Linked DNA regions of Tamandua tetradactyla. The protein of the gene in region 1 interacts with the protein of each later gene in a biochemical or structural test. Links are inferred from orthologs where the notes say so. Each region holds a gene or a part of one and is shown in the gene's direction. Other genes may lie near its edges.

Region 1 (7,601 bases):
GGTCACGCATTGCATTTGGTTGTCATATCTCTTTTAGTTTCCTTCAATCTAGAACAGTTTCTCAGCCTTTCTTTGTCTTTCACAATCTTGCCATTAAAAAAAAAAAGGCCAGTTATTTCACAGAAGGTCCCTCAATTTGGGTTTGTCTGGACTTCTCTCTCTTTTTTTTTTTTAAATTTATTTATTAATTAAAAAATAAAGAAACAAAATAAAACATCAACATACATAACCAGTAATTCACAATGGACTTTTCTCTTGATTAGATTCCTGTTGTGCATTTTTGGTAAGAATGCCGTAAAAGTACTGCTATTTCTGCTTCCTTCACAGCGCCACATATCAGAAGGCACATGATGCCAGTTTGTTCCATGTTAACTTTCTTATATTGAATTCGGTTACTTGGTCACTGTGGTGTCTGCTGGTTTTCTTCACTTGAAGTTACTATTTTTCCTTTTTTAATTAATAAATAAGTAATTTGTGGAGAGATATTTCAGGTTTTTTTTTTTTGACAGGAATATATAAGAAATATATTTTACATGGTTACACAGTAAATATGAAACAATACATATTCTTTCCCCATGAAAGTTATTTTAGTTTCTACTTGGTTGTATGTCATTAAAAAACAATTCGGGTCTTGACCTACTAAATTAATTGCATAACTCTTTAATAGGTAATGACCTTTATTTGAAATCACTAGTCTGGTGAAACTATTTCTTTGAATCATTATGGCTCCTAAAAGAAAAAGAGATGGGAAGGAGCAAAAGCGACAGCAAGGAGCCCATTATAAAGATCTTGCCATAATTCAGATGAGAAAAACTAGTAGCTACTGGCAAGAGAAGTGAGTGGACTGAAGAATTTGAATTAACAGAGTTAATGACTGAGTGTACATGGTTGTGGTGGGGGAAAGAGGGTGGAGTCAAGAAAAACAATGGGTTGCATGCTGGTCCTTACAGAGATAGAGAACACTGGAAGTTCGTATGTTCAGGCTCCATTGTGTTGAGTTCCAGGTCTTGGGAATAACAGATTGGAGTTGTCCAGTGGACTGTTGATTCTTTGGCTCTCAGGAAGCAAACTGGGTTGGTCAAATAGCAAACTGAAGTTGGACTTTACCCACTATAATTATACAACTTCATGCCCACTTCAGGCAGGAAGCAGAAGTTGGTTCATGATTGGAATAAATATTCTGAAAATATTTCCAATAATGGATGCCAAGGTGAACATGCAAGGTAATAGACACAAGCCAAAAACATAGGAAGCAAATTGACATAAATTTACTGGAATAAACTTCACTTTTTAGCATTTTCCTCTGTGACTCTTTTAGTTAATTGTGCTGTTAATACCATTCATATATATATATATATAATATATATATTTAGATTTCACCTTAGTGAAATCTAAAGAAATCACGATGCTGGTTTAATCACAATTGTATAAGGAATTAGCCTGTGTCTTGCCGGTTGCTGGTTCACAAGTTTAATTTTTCAAATCTAGCAACGAGCATTTTTAAGTATAAACACCATAAATAAACACGTGTTTGACACAAGCTACACAAGCTGCCTGTTTCTAAATGCCACGAGATTGGGATTTGCGTTGAGAGAATGGAATTTTCTTGTGGCAAAGAATCTGAACGTGTGAGTTAACATCACACTGTTGGGAATGATGACCCTTACTTAGTTAGTGGTCCCCCATGCACACCCTTTTTCTGTTTCCCTCCCTCCTGCCCGCTCTTCCCTCCCTTCGGTTATTCTGGGATTAACCAGAAGATAGGCCCCATACACAAGCGCAGCTGGCTGGTTCTGTCAGCTCGAGCCCTGCTGTGCAACCACGTTAGGAATTTCAGTAAATTGGCAACACTGGAGCACAAAGACAACAACAATTGGGAAAACCCTTCAGTGCAGAAAGGAATGTTTGGAGCCCTGGCTGCTACACACACAAGCACGCGCGCGCCTGCACAGGCTGGCGCTCGCTCCTGCGCGCCCACTCTCGGCGTGCGAGGGAGACCTGCCCCCCGGCTCCCCCTCTCCCCCCACCCCGCACCTAGGGTCCTCGCTCTGGTCGCCCGCTCATCTGCGCACGCCTCCCTAGAGCCAGCAGCAGCTCTTTGTAACTGGGAGGTGCAGAGACGCTCATTGACTATGCAGCGCTGCCCCGGCGGGAGTCGGAGCCGCCTGACCCTGGCGCGGTCTAGTACCAACGCCCCGTCAGCCCGGAACCGGCATAAATCACCCACAGAGACTGAAGTGCAGCATCTCGCCCCTCACCGCTTCCCTCCTCCCTACCCGGGTCATCCCCCCCGCTTTCCAGCCCTCTGCTCCTCGGGTCCCCAATCCTGCCTCCTCCTCAGCACCGCACCGCGCCAGACGCTGTGAAGGGAGGCGCTTTGACCAGAACAGAGAACTCTGAAGTTCCAAATCTAACCAGGAAAGCCCTCCCGCTTTTTCATAATCCTACATTTTTTTAGTTTTGGTCTAAATCTTCTCTCTCGGTCTTTCAAAAGTAACAGTACCTTCATTCCCGCTCCCCTCCACCCCCCACCCAAGTTGTATAAACTCTTGAAAGCCCACGGACGCTGCGAGCTTCAGACTGTTGGGGTCAGCAGAGCCCCAGACAATCGGTGCTCTGGGAGGAGGGGGCAGGTGGTTCCCAGCAGGTCCTCGCTCTTGGGGAGGGCGAGGCGGACCACGTGGAGCCAGAGCTGCGCCTCTACCGCCCCTCTGGCTATGGGAAGACGTCTGCCCTTTAGCACCAGGAATCGGCGTTCAGGCCCCGCTGCCGAGCCGGTTCGCGGTTCAGGGACTCCGGCGGGAGGCTCTGGGAGGACCCCAGATCCGGAAGCACCCCCTCCTCACAGAGAGCTCCCACGGCCGGGGTGTAGGTTGCACCAACCGTCCATCTTTTCGCTCTGGTGTCACGTACTGGCGAAGGACGGTGCTCTGGGGGCGAGTGTAAGGCTCACTCGTAATGTTCTCGGGGGCCGGACCGGCGACGCTTTGAACTCCCTTGTGTTTCTCCCTCACGTAAAGGGACACCAGCACACGGAGATAATGTTCATTCTTTTCAATTTTGCTTCAAAATGAATTGCACTGCAAATGTAGACGCACAACCCAGCCGTGATACCTATACATGTGGTGCTTAAAAGCCAAACAAGGATTCGACCCCTTCCCCAACTTTTCTTTTTTATTAGAGAAGTTGTAGGTTTACAGAAAAGTAATGAGTTTCTATCTACCACCCAATTATTAATACCTTGCATTAGTATGGTATATTTGTTAATTCATGAAAGCATATTTTTTAATAATTATACTATTAACTATATAGTTAAGTGTTTCAAAAGGGTTCATTATGTTGTACAGTGTTACATTTTGTTTCCTAAAAATTTTTATTCTGGTAGCATATATATATATACGACTTAACATTTCCCCTTTTAACCAGATTCAAATATATAATTAATGAGTTATGAATATATTATTCATAAACTTGTGCTACCATCACCACAGTCCATTTCCAAAACTTTACGATCAACCCAAACAGAAACTCTATACAATTTAAGAATTAATTGCCCATTCCCAAATTTTGAAAACACAGGACACCATCTCAGCAGCCTCAAATTTATCAGGGGAAATCCGGGTATCAGAGGGAGCTCAGAGATTTCAAACCAGGAAGGAAGGTGACAAATCTCTCCAACAAACTCTTTTACTTTCTTCACTTCCCTTTTTCCTTCTTCCTCTTTCCCTTCCCTTTCTTTCCACCTTCTCTTACTTTTCCTGATTTTTTTTCCTTCTTCATCTCTTCCTTTTTTCTTTTTTCCCCTACTTTTGACTTTCTTTTTTTTTTCTCTCTCCATTACTGTTTAGTCTTTAAAACTATGTTCGGGAGAGATTATCCTACGCTGTACAGCTGGCTTTGGTGCTAGGGCAAATCCTGCAGAGAGGGGAAGACAGAGCGTGCCCGAGTGCGAGTGTGCCATTTGTGTGACTGAGGAGTATGTATGCACATGTGAGTCACTGTCAGTGTTTGAGTATGAATGGAGTGCGTGTCCCGCGTATAACTGTGAGAACTGCATGTTTGTGAGTGTGACAGTGAGAAATGTGCAACTGTGAATGCGAGTGTGAGTCTATCAGCACATGAATGTGGGCGTGAGTGTGTGTGTGTGACTGTGTGGAGTGTGCATGTGTAAGCGCACGTGTGCTTGAGTCCCCACTCCTCCCGGCGCTGCAAAGTGCAGGGGGCGGGATGGGCGGCAGGCGGCCTGCCCCGCCAGATTCCCTCATGCTAGTTCCGGGGCGGCCCTGCCTAAAGGGCTTTCGGCACTGTCGGGAGGGTGGGGATTGGCGCGGGTAGAAAACCTGATGCCTGGAGAGCCCGGCCGGCTTTTCGTCACCTGGAACCGGCCGAGGTGCTCTACTAAAGGAGCACACGCGAGCGGAGGCGCAGACCTAACTGAGTACGTCGCGCGCCCACCTCGCGGGGAAGGAACGGCGAGGTACAGACCGCGGCGGCAGCGCGCGGGGACCGTCGCGGGGATGGAGCGCCGGGCGGCGGCGGTGGCGGGCACGCTGCTGCTGGCGCTCGCAACCTGCTTGGCGCCGGCAAGAGGCGAAGGTAAGCGCCGGTCAGTCAGAACCCCGCGTTAAGCATTGGGCTTCGTGGGCCGTGGCAGGGTAGAGTCCGCTGGAGGACGTCCCCGACAGCGGGTGGGCGGAGGGGAGCGCGCCCGGGCAGGGGCCCCAGCGGGCGGCGGCGCCGCAGCGGCTCCCACTGGGGCGCTCAGGTTGCCCCTCCAGCCGCAAGAGGCGGAGCGCCCCTCCTTCGCCCAGCTGAGAACTGTGCAGCCGCAAACTTGAGAAAACGTACCCCACGGGTAACCCATCACTGTTCCCACCGGGAATATTCCCGATTCTTTCGGAAACTACTTTGCCGTTGGAACCCAGCAGAATGAGGTTCTCCGCCGCGGATCCTCAGCCTGCTAACCCGCCGCGGATTTATCCTCGCCGTGGCTGAGCGGACCTCTCCCTGTGCAGGTGGAAAACGCGGGCCGGGGAGGATCCCTTTGCCCGCCCAGGGCTTTGGTCTGAAGTATCCCCTCCCCTCGCCCCAGTCACCGGTGGAACTCGGTCCCGCGGTGACCCCCAAGAGACTGCATCTCATGATACAGATCGTTTACGAGCCGAGATAAGGCCGAGATGTGTGATTGGCCGAGAGAGAGCTGATACACAAGAGTATTTTCTTGAAGGGTTTTCATTTCCAACCCGGGAGGTGGATTTTTTCGTGTTGATGAATGGAGCTTGTCTGCGCGACCAGTTTTGGGAGCTAGAAGGCACAAATTTTCTGGTCTGACGTGCTTTAAACTTCAGATTGTCGGAGAGTTTACTTTTTTTGAGAAACAGGAGAGGGAAAGAGAAGGAGAAAGAGAGAATAAAAATAGTAAGAGGGGAAGAAACTAGAGAGGAAAAGGGAGAGAAGGTGCGAGAGCGAGTTTGAAAAGAACGTTGGAGAGAGAAAGAGAGAGCGAGAGCTAGCGAGCGAGCAAGCAAGCGGGCGCGCGCGCGAGACAGACCGACCGGGGATGAATGGGAAGGGCGAAGGGCGAGGAGGAGGCGGGGGAACCCGCGAGCTCTCTCTCTGGCTTTGCGTTGCTAGGTAGCAGCCGGGAGCTGCGTGTGACCCACCATCAGACAGACAGAGTGGGGTGGGGATGGGAGAGTCCCCGCTTTTCCCTCCTTCTCTTCGGACAACTTAATTGCCCTACAATGAAAATGAGACTCCTATTGTTGTAGGATTAACCAAAGCAATAAATTGATTTCCTTGGATCACGTATTGGGGTTGACTGGTGAGGACGTGGAAGCCCCCACTTATGGGGGGGGGGAGGGGAGGGCTTGTGGATGGGCCGTGGCTTGTATTCAAAGAGTTAATCTGCTTTTTCCCCCTCAATTCTTGGCATAAGCTCCTTAGAGGGAATCAAGTAAGTAATTATACAGCAACTCCTAACAGTACCCATTTCGAACTTAACTGGGAAGAAGTAAGTTTGGAAACGCCAATAGACCTCATTGGTCTTTCAAAAATCTTTAACCAAGAACACTTGGTAACACTTGTAAAAGTCTTGTAAACACAAGAAAAATATGCTCATTATCTGGAAAATTTCTTCTGAGATGGAACAGTGCTTTGGGTTATATGTAGCTTATGTCCTAAATATAGTCATAGGATTTACAGTATGTTCTGTCAACGCCCAGCAAAAGGAAATCTTGACTAGATTCCTTTGGTAATGCCTTGGGACAATCAAAATCCAGAACTCTCCACTGGGTTGACCTAGTCATTAAATAATGTGTACTTATGCTTGATAGTTTACATCTATCATTCTCTAGTAAAAATATATAATGATGATCTATATAGCAATAGCAATATATCGCATACTTACATGTGCCAGGCTCTATTCTAAGTACTTTACAGTCACTGACTCAGTTAATTTCTATAATAACCCTGGAAGTAGGTACTCTTATTTATTATCCCTGTTTCACAGATGAGAAAACTGGGGCATAGAACTTTCTTTCTTAAGGTCATACTGCTAGGAAATGGCTGAGCTGTGAGGCAAACCCAAAGAATTCTGACTCCAGAGTCCACGATTTAACTGCTGCACCACAGTATTAGCTTTCTCTATTTTTCTTTTGAATTAAAAATGTCATTCTCCCAGTATCTACATGAGAAGTTCTAAAGTAACTGGGGGGCATTTTGCAAGTCTTTACCAAGGTAAAATTCACCTGCCTCATTAAATATGGATATTTTTAGAGAAACTGTTTACAGTTTTCCCAAATCTCCACATTCCCAGTCTTTTCTACTTTAACTATTTTTAGATACAGCTACTCTAAATATCCTCAGTTAGAAGGGTGAGGGAATTCCTGGATTCTTGTACTGATCCTGATTTATCAGATGACGTAAAGTGTGATGGCATTGTAGATGCCCTTATATCTCCATATTTTAGGAAGGAACCCTACTGCAAACTCGGAATCATTAGAAATTGGAAAAGAACTGCAAATATCTTTGGCAGGTTTTTTTTTTTTTTTTTTAATTATACCACATCTGTAGTGTATTTGCACTTTTTTCATACTTCACATACAGTTTTTTAAGAAAATAATTTGGGTGATCTTGGGCTCTGGAGTCAAGCTGTCTGGATTTGATAATGGCTCCACCACTTTCTGTATGACCTTAAGGAAGTCACTTCACTTACACAAAGTGAAGTATCTGCAAATTGGAATGCCTATACCATGACATTTTATGAGCACAGAACAAGATACAAAGTGCTTAGAAAGGCATAAGGTAGACAATGATTAATAGCTATTTTTATTGTACTAAAACTTTTACCTTCTATTCATACTTCCGGTTTTCAAAAGTACATAGGAATGTTTAAGCACTTTTTACTAACATTTCTTTGAGATTTCCATGTATCCCAGGATATTTGATTTTTGAAAATAGTAATGACGTTAAAGTTATTTTCTTTAATAAAAGTTTGGGTGTGTCCTATTTAGTATAAGTATTTTATGATTGCTACATCTTTGGGTGACTTTTATATATCTAAAAAAGGGCTGCAGGGCCAATAACAACAAAATTACAAC
Region 2 (8,021 bases), on another chromosome or scaffold:
GAGCAGACTGGTGACATAAATACTGTTGCATTGTTGCTGCTCTCCTTGACCCCTCTTGGTGTGTGTGTAGCAGGGGTGGGGGTGGGGTGGGGTTAGAGGGTAGGGGGGGGTGGGACAAAGAATGCTATTTAAAGCTACTGTCAACCAGAGTCAGGTTTAATAATATTGCTATGCAACCTTTCCCTGGAATTAAGCAAGGCCAGTAACATAGGTATCATGAAAGAAGATAAATTCTTTTTTAATGAAGACACATAGAAATATTTTTTTTCATAGGATTTTTAATCTTAGAAGAAAAATAGGAATTGGATATTTTACTTGTGTCCAGTGCACACAAGCAAAGTATGCCAAATGTGATTACTTTAAGGTTTGCAAAATATTTATCTCCTTTTTTTTTCCTGTTTTTTTTTTTTAAAGTGATCCCTTTAATTTTCATGCTAAATTCCATTCTCCTGAATATGGCAAATAAGACCTTTTATAATTTGTTCTCGCTCCCTTATCTAGATTCAACTATGCCCTGCCTCCCACCCCCAGAGAAAATTCTCTATGCACTTACTCTTTTCTTTGCCTGGAATGCCTTCCCTGCCTCATCTGGTCACCCAGTTATCTTTCAAGATGGTAACACCTCTTTCACAAAGTCTTCTTAACTCTTTACCTGAGTTAGATGCCCATGTTTGATGCTCCCCGAGCACTCCGTACTTGTCAGTATTATAGCATTTATCACAATTTAATGTGATGATGAGTTTCCTTCCCCTAGCTATGAATTCTTTGAGGGCATTTTTTTTTTCTTTCTTTCTCTAACATTGTGCCTGACAAAGAATAAGCATTAAGTGAACATTTGTTGAATGAATAGAATTTTCTTCCCAAAATACAGAATCTGAGTGTGAATATGAATCTCAATGAAAGGGACAATGAGAGGCTTAGATAGATTTGGAATTAACCTTGGAATCTGTGTGTATGTAGTAGTATACTTTGAGCACCTAAGATCTTCCATGAGCCTGATAGGGATAATCCTACTGGACAGGTTTAACAGTTTTATTAATTTGAGAGCTTTATATGTATAGAAACTTTAGCATATTCTTGGTGTATGTAAGCACTACAAACTATTAAATAAATAGAGATTATGTAATAATTTGAAAACCCCAAAGCTTGCAACACAAATCAAGATATTATACTCTTTACAATGAGAAGCATATTTGGAACAATTATAGGAATAAACAGAATTGTAAATGCTATGTAATACACAGAATGGACTACTTTGCTTTCCCCTTTTCAGAGGAGTAGTTATTTGGCAGGATTTATGATTTTCAACATTTGGTTAACCATGGGTCAGTCTTAAACAGCACTTACATAGGCTGCCCTTTTGAGTATCTTGAGAATCCTGTTCATAGGAATCAATTATGTGAAGGTTCAATAATGTTCCTTCTCACCCATGTGCATGCTACCCATGTCCATGTCTTTTATTAAATTGACTCTGAGTTCCTTGAAGATGGGGTCTGTTTCTGATTTATCATCATTATCCCCAATGCCTAGCACAGTGCCCGAAAAGATGGCATATACTCCACAAATCCTCCTTAAATTAAAATGAACAATGTTGGAATTATTTTGGGAAGAAAATAGATGTTTATTGTGCAACTTATACAGTGCAAGACATGTCCAACATGCCATCTCATTTAAGGCTCACAGCAATTTCATGAAGCAGGTATTGTGTAGTTGAGAAGTTTGAAGTTCAGAGAGGTAAGTAACTTGCCAAAGATGACTGAGGCCCATCAAAATCCATACTCTACCCAGTACAGTACCCAATAAGAGTACTTCCTTCACTGGGCTGTCATGTAGGTTAAATGAGTTAATATATGAGAAGCACACAGAATGGGTCCTGAAATAGAATAAGTGATATATAAATGTTTGCTCTTGATCATCTGGTTAGTCTGCTGTTTCTCAGAGTAGATGATAAAGAAATATTTATCAATTATTTTTTCTTATCTTGCACTTAATACAAGTGACATCATTGCCAGAAACCTAAATAATAATAGAAAAATCACCCTAAATTTTAGATGAGTAGTCTGACATGTTTAGCATAATAGTTTAAGAATACTGCGTTAAGATTTGTTTTAAGTTTCATCCAGAAGACCACTAGGCCCTTGCTGGGCAGCTTGTATGCCATCAGAATCTATAGATTATGCTTTCTTCCGGTCTGGAGTGAGGAACAGCTGCAGTGTCTTGCCCTTTTGGATTGCATGGGAATGTGCCCAGTTTCCACAGTGGACCCAGTCCAATGCTGAATAGAGATTGAGTTTTAACTTTATCCTCTTTCCCTTTCTACTCCTCAGCCAACTTGGTGTCCTGCATTCCCTTCAAAGTCTGTAATCACAACATCAGTCCAACACAGGACCTGATGGAAGACAGGAGGAGACAATTCACATATGCAGGGCTAAATGCATGTGAATGTTTTTTTATGTTCCATGATTGCCCTCAAAGCATGGAGAAATTTCAGAGTGTTTCTTGGTAGAGTCAGTAAAAAGTTGTATAGATGGTCCATTAACCACAGCTTGACATTTGTCCCAGCTACCCCTCCCCCCATTTCAGTCATAGCTTCTCTGAATTGTCCATGTCTCCTAAGTTCTGTCTTTATAGACAAGGAAAAGCCTGGCCAGCCTGAACTTCATACTGAATGAAACTGAAGTGATAAGGTGTCAGCTCTTCCTACTCTCTAGAACGCTGGGAAGATTTGAGAGACTTGAGCCCATTTTCCTGGTCCCCCACTCTTTGCTGGCTACCCCCAGAAGTAAGTTGGAGCAGGGTAGGATCAGGGGTGAGGACCCTCTCTCCCCCACCACCTCCACACACCTTGTTGGGAGTTTCCTCTGATCAACTAACTATTCTCCTAAGATTGCACCCTGCCAGTGACCTCACACATTTTTCTTGTCTCTATGTAAATTGCTATCTTTTCAGGAGGTGCATGACAGCCTCCGATTGTACGGCCTCCATTTGTACAGAAGCTGTTATTACGGAATAAGTTTAATGGGTCGTGAATTTTGTGGAGAAAGGGAGGGTCTCGCGATGACTTCGTATGTACCAGTCATAGACCTATTGGCTCCATAAGGAGTGCATTAGGCTAAATATTTTTAGCCCATTGACTTTGGAGGTAATAACCCTAAATGCTTCATTAAATTTTCATGGGTGAGCTACAGAAGCTATGAGGAAAAACAAAAACCAAATCCACCACATTAGCTTTATTATTACACAGCTGGAGAAGAGGAGCATAGCCCCTAAAAAGGAATACAAATAAACTTTTTAAGGAACTACTGACTGCCCCTTCCTTTCCTCCTGGCGCCCTGCTCCAGCAAGGTAGCGCTTGGTTTGAGTCCCTACCCTTCCACCCCCCACCCCCCCACTCACCCCACAGCCCCCTGCATCTCGGCCTCTAGAGACAGGAATGGTGCAACAGGCATTTAATGGTGTTGAAGAATTTACTGGAGCTGAAGAATTTTCAGAATATATTTTCTGCAATTTGGCGTTCTTAAGATCTCCGTAAAATATGGCCCAAAGCAGGGAGCGACTGAAGTGTATACGCTGGAGCATTCTCCCGCGCAGGTTGAATTCAGCGATCTAATCTACGGATTGTGTACTCCCAGGCATTCTAAGAACCGGAGCTAGGGTGAATTGGGGCATATTCTCGGGGGTGTTGACTCCTCCCAGGACCGATGAAAACCAGACAGACGCACATCTTTTTTAGCCCAAGTTTGCCTCGGGAGTTTCAGTAACAACAGCAAGAGCCGAGAGCCAGGGTAGGCGGCTGAGAACCAGCGCCCCCTCCTGCAGAGGGGCATGGGGGCAACACAACCCCGTGAGACTTCCCTGATTTTTTTTTTCTCGCCCACTGGCACTTTTTATATATTGGTATGTGTGTGTTTTGAGGCTTGGATAAAAGAGAAAAATGAGGGAGGGTCGGGCGGGGGCTGCTGGTGGTGGCGGTGATGCTGGCGAAACGACGGATACTTTTGGGAACCCGGAGTCTGGTTGCTTTTAGCCCTCCTCCTTCTCCCAATCCTGTCTTCGTCGGCGCAGCTGGGGCGGGGACCCGGTGCTCTCTGATCCACTCACCCCCTTCCACGCCGGGATGGGAAGTGAACGCAGGGGCTCCAGAGACGCGACTGCGAGCCGCGGCGCCCCCGCTCGCTCGCTTTTCCTCCTGGCTGTTGCCACCGCGACTCGCCTAAGCTCTCCGAGCGCGCTCGGGCGGCGCACAGAGCGCCCCAGCGGGAGCCCGAGCCCTAAGGCTGAGGCACGCGGCGCGCCGCGGGACCAAGGAGGTGAGCGAGGCCGCTGGGCGCCGGGCGGGCGCGGGGGGCCTCGGGGCGGGGGCCGGAGGAGGAGGCGGGTCTGCGCGTGGGGCGGTCTCCTCCCCCTGCTCTGACGCCAGGCCCGTGGCTCCCGGGGAGGATGGACCCTGCACCGCGCTCGCCGGGGCTTCCCCGGACTGGAGAGAGCGCCTGAGTCCCGTCGCCCAACCGGCATGGGGAGCCGCTTCCTGGGCGGCTGCGGCAGCGGAGGAGGATGTTGTCGGCGAGCCGAGGTGAGGCGCGGCGAGGGCACGCGGCAGCCCTAGAGTTCAACCCGGACAGGTGCCGGGCGGAGACACAGCGCCCGGACACCTGGCGTGTCTCCGCTGGGGACCCCGGGGCTCCCCTCTCGGGAGTTTGGCAGAGGGCGCTGCGTGGGTATGGCGACTGCAGCAGTTTACCGCTCGCTCCCTCCACTTGCTGGAGTGGGGGAGAGGGGCGACCTCTGCTCCTTCCTCCCGTCCTCTCTCCTCCCGCAATCTCCGTACTTCTGGCCACGCGCGATCCTCTTTCTAGACTTGCTCACTCAGAATTGCTGGGCTGTCTCCGGATCCGCAGCATCCTCCCTCTTGGGGTCCCAGCTCTGTCCATCTACGAGCTTTCCTTCTCCCACCCCAGAACCTCATCTGTGGTCCCGGACCCTGCTCCTCTCTCACGAGCAGCGCACCCAGTCCCGGACGAATCGTATTCTCACTTGCCTGCTACCTGGCAGCGCTGCGGTTCTGCCTGGACCTGTCGGAAAACCGGATCTGTCCTAGTAACCGCCAACCCTTCCATGTAAATATCAGGGCTGGACCCCACGTCTCTTTGGGCCCCAGCCTTCCCTGGGTCCTCCGTCGGCTCAGATCTCTCCGGCTCCTCGGTCCCTCCTTCCTTCCCATTTTTACTTCTCGGGCTCCACGCCATCCCGATACCTCTCCTCTCTAACCCTCCCCTGTCTGCTTCAGACTCGATCGGCCTCGGATGCAGAACTCCGATTTTTGTTTTTTGTTTTTCCTCCTATTGGGGAAACTTTAAATAAATGCCCGTGGTTCGGCGCATAAAGGAGCCATGAAAAGGGGTTCCTAACCTCTGAGAGAACCGGTAGTCAGAGAGTGAGAAATGGGGGGGGAGGGGGGGGGAGGTTGTGTCGCGACGTCTGAAAGGGCCCGGGCGGGTGTAGGAAGTAGTACATTTTTAAAACGGGGGTGTTTGCTGCAGCCAGGACCCTCCTCCCCCACTCGCTCCGTCCCGCCAAGTGTTATTGTGACCCCTGCTGGGAGGGCGCGTCTTTTCTCTGCACTTCCTAAGGCGCGTGGTTTTTCTTTTTCTTTCCTTTTTTTTTTTTTTTGTTTTTTTTTTTTTGGTGCTGGTGGTCAGAACCCGACTGAGGTCTGGGAGAGGGTGGGCACTGACTGCCTCGCGAGACCGATGGCACTTGGCTCCTGCGCAGCTCCTCCCGGCCCGGCCAGACTGTGTACGTTTCACTCCGTAGAAACCACCCCCCAACTGCATCACACAAGTCCTCATTGTTGGGGGTCTGCTGCCTTGGCACTTCCGCCTTGGCGGGGAGAATCTGAAGGAATGGAATGGGGGTGGGGAGGCCGGGGGCGCCGGGCGTCCGTGGCCTGGCTGTTGCCCGAGGGTCCGCAGCCCGCGGAGTGGCGGGTGCCGCCGCGCGAGTGTGTGGCGGTGAGGGTGGGGTGCGTGGGTCGGTGCCTGCGCGTGCGTTTGGATGTCGGTGCACGGCCGTGTTTTAGCGCGATCAGAAAGAGGGGCGAGTCGAGAGCTCGCTGAAGCGAGAGCGCCTTTCAGTGCCCCGGAGCTGGGCGGGCGGGTACCAACTCTGAGATGGATGCTACAATGCAGTTCCTAGCGTACCGGCGGGGAACCGAGCGAGAATCTGCTCTGCTGCTTCTCCACCCACTACCCCCCTCCTGCTCCCCTCCTGCTGGCCCATTAGATGCACTTTCACAATGTTGATGGTTTTGGATAAAGGCCTTGTAGGGGTTCAGCTGACACTTCATAACACTTAACATGTTTTCAAGTAATCATATAAATTAAAGGTAGCTTATGTTCAGAACCCCCTAATTATCCAGTTCGCGTTTGTACATTTATGTGCCAATTATAGGTATTCGGGGGAAATCCATAAAATTATAAACCATCTCCACCCCCTGAATTAGCACCCATTGTTTATTATTATTGTTTTTTTTTAAATCAATCTCAGCGGTGAGTGATTTGGGATGGAACCCCGAGTTTCAGTCAAGAAGATGCAAGGGACGGGGGAGGGAGAGTTTGGAATAGGAACAGTCCCCCCCCCCCCCCCATCTCTTTCACTCCCTATCTTGACAGGGCTTGGTGACAATTCTGGAAACTGAAAGGGATCAAAGATTTTCTTGATTTCCTATTGAGAAGGGCGACCTAATCAAAGCTGTATAAAAGTCAACTTCTGAGCAATCAGAAATTGTCTGCTGATGTCCTTGATTGAAACCCCAGCATTCAAATGGAGTATTGAAGAACTCCCAGAAATGGCTTTTGAAGAGCTATTGTTCTTTTCCACACACACAGACTCTTTTAAAGGTTGTAGGAAGTTTAAAATGTAGTGGTTTGAAAAGACAGACATTGTAACTATTTGGCAAGAATGGTTAGGATCTGCAGGGATGAGAGAAGAGGCCCAGGTGGGAAGAGTAAACTTGTTACTATCTTCTTGGGAACAGTGACACTATCGAGTGGAATTTCAGTTCTACACATGGAATTGGCAATTAAATGTCTTCGTAAAGCAGATTTAGAAGATGATTTTTACTAGCTTTTTATTTTTTTTGGTGGTTTGCTTAAGGTCTGAATAGGCATATCTGAAACATTTAATCATGTTCATTGTATTCAACAATAAAATCTGAATAAAAATTACTTATTGTTGATGAAGCTCATCTTGCAAGCTGTTGCACAGTATGTCTCCGTTGCAAGACACAGGATTGTGTGAGGCTGCCGGAAAGAGATTCTATCACTTATTGTTCATTTTCTCCTCCCAAAGCCAGAGAGGAACATGCTTCTTCACTCCTCTTTGCCGTCCAAAGTAATTTTTCTTAAATGAGTGGGTGTTTGGCTTGGTACCTGATAGTACCCATCTTATAAATTGCATTTGGTGAATTTCTGATGCCCAAAGCCACCCTGCAGGCAGATGAAGAAACTAATTGAGGCAGCATTTCATTTTGATGATTCACTCAAGTCAAATATTTTGTTTTTGGTGGAATTTTAATCTTTCTCTCGAACTAACAAAGCTGACAAAGCAAGAAAATCAACTTATGTCTTTTAGATGGGCACTTTAAAAAGTGACATAAATTAAAGGGGTGTTGTCATGAACTTTCAATCTGTTATTTAGGATTTACTGTGACGAAGGCTGGTGTTCACTGGCTGAGTTAAGTGATTGAATCTAAATCGCTTAATCTCTCAGAATCTCAGTCTCATCATGGAGTTTTGGGCAATTTTTTTTTGTGGAGAAACATTTCATTGAGTGCTTGACGCATAGCAGGATTTCGAGAAAATGGTAGCTTTTAGGAAGGAGAGACGATGGCATTTGGAATTGGAGGACCTGAATTGAGTCCAGCTGCTTCCTAACTTTGTGATGTTTGGCAAGTCACAGTTCTTATTAATAAAAAGAAAAATAATAAACAAATAAACATTTATAGAAAAATAAACATTTAT

The links.
Region 2: the proteins of LRP2 (region 1) and DAB1 form a complex in vitro, tested with the Homo sapiens proteins (2 studies listed by BioGRID). The link is inferred for Tamandua tetradactyla from reciprocal best matches to the Homo sapiens genes LRP2 and DAB1.

The regions. Positions count from the first base shown.
Region 1 is NC_135329.1:140,837,893-140,845,493, reverse strand, and holds the start of LRP2 (low-density lipoprotein receptor-related protein 2), read left to right. Parts: upstream 1-4,343; coding exon 4,344-4,596; intron 4,597-7,601. UniProt on the Homo sapiens protein: Multiligand endocytic receptor. Acts together with CUBN to mediate endocytosis of high-density lipoproteins. Mediates receptor-mediated uptake of polybasic drugs such as aprotinin, aminoglycosides and polymyxin B.
Region 2 is NC_135328.1:163,551,439-163,559,459, forward strand, and holds the start of DAB1 (disabled homolog 1), read left to right. Parts: upstream 1-4,444; 5' UTR 4,445-4,573; intron 4,574-8,021. UniProt on the Homo sapiens protein: Signaling adapter of the reelin-mediated signaling pathway, which regulates the migration and differentiation of postmitotic neurons during brain development.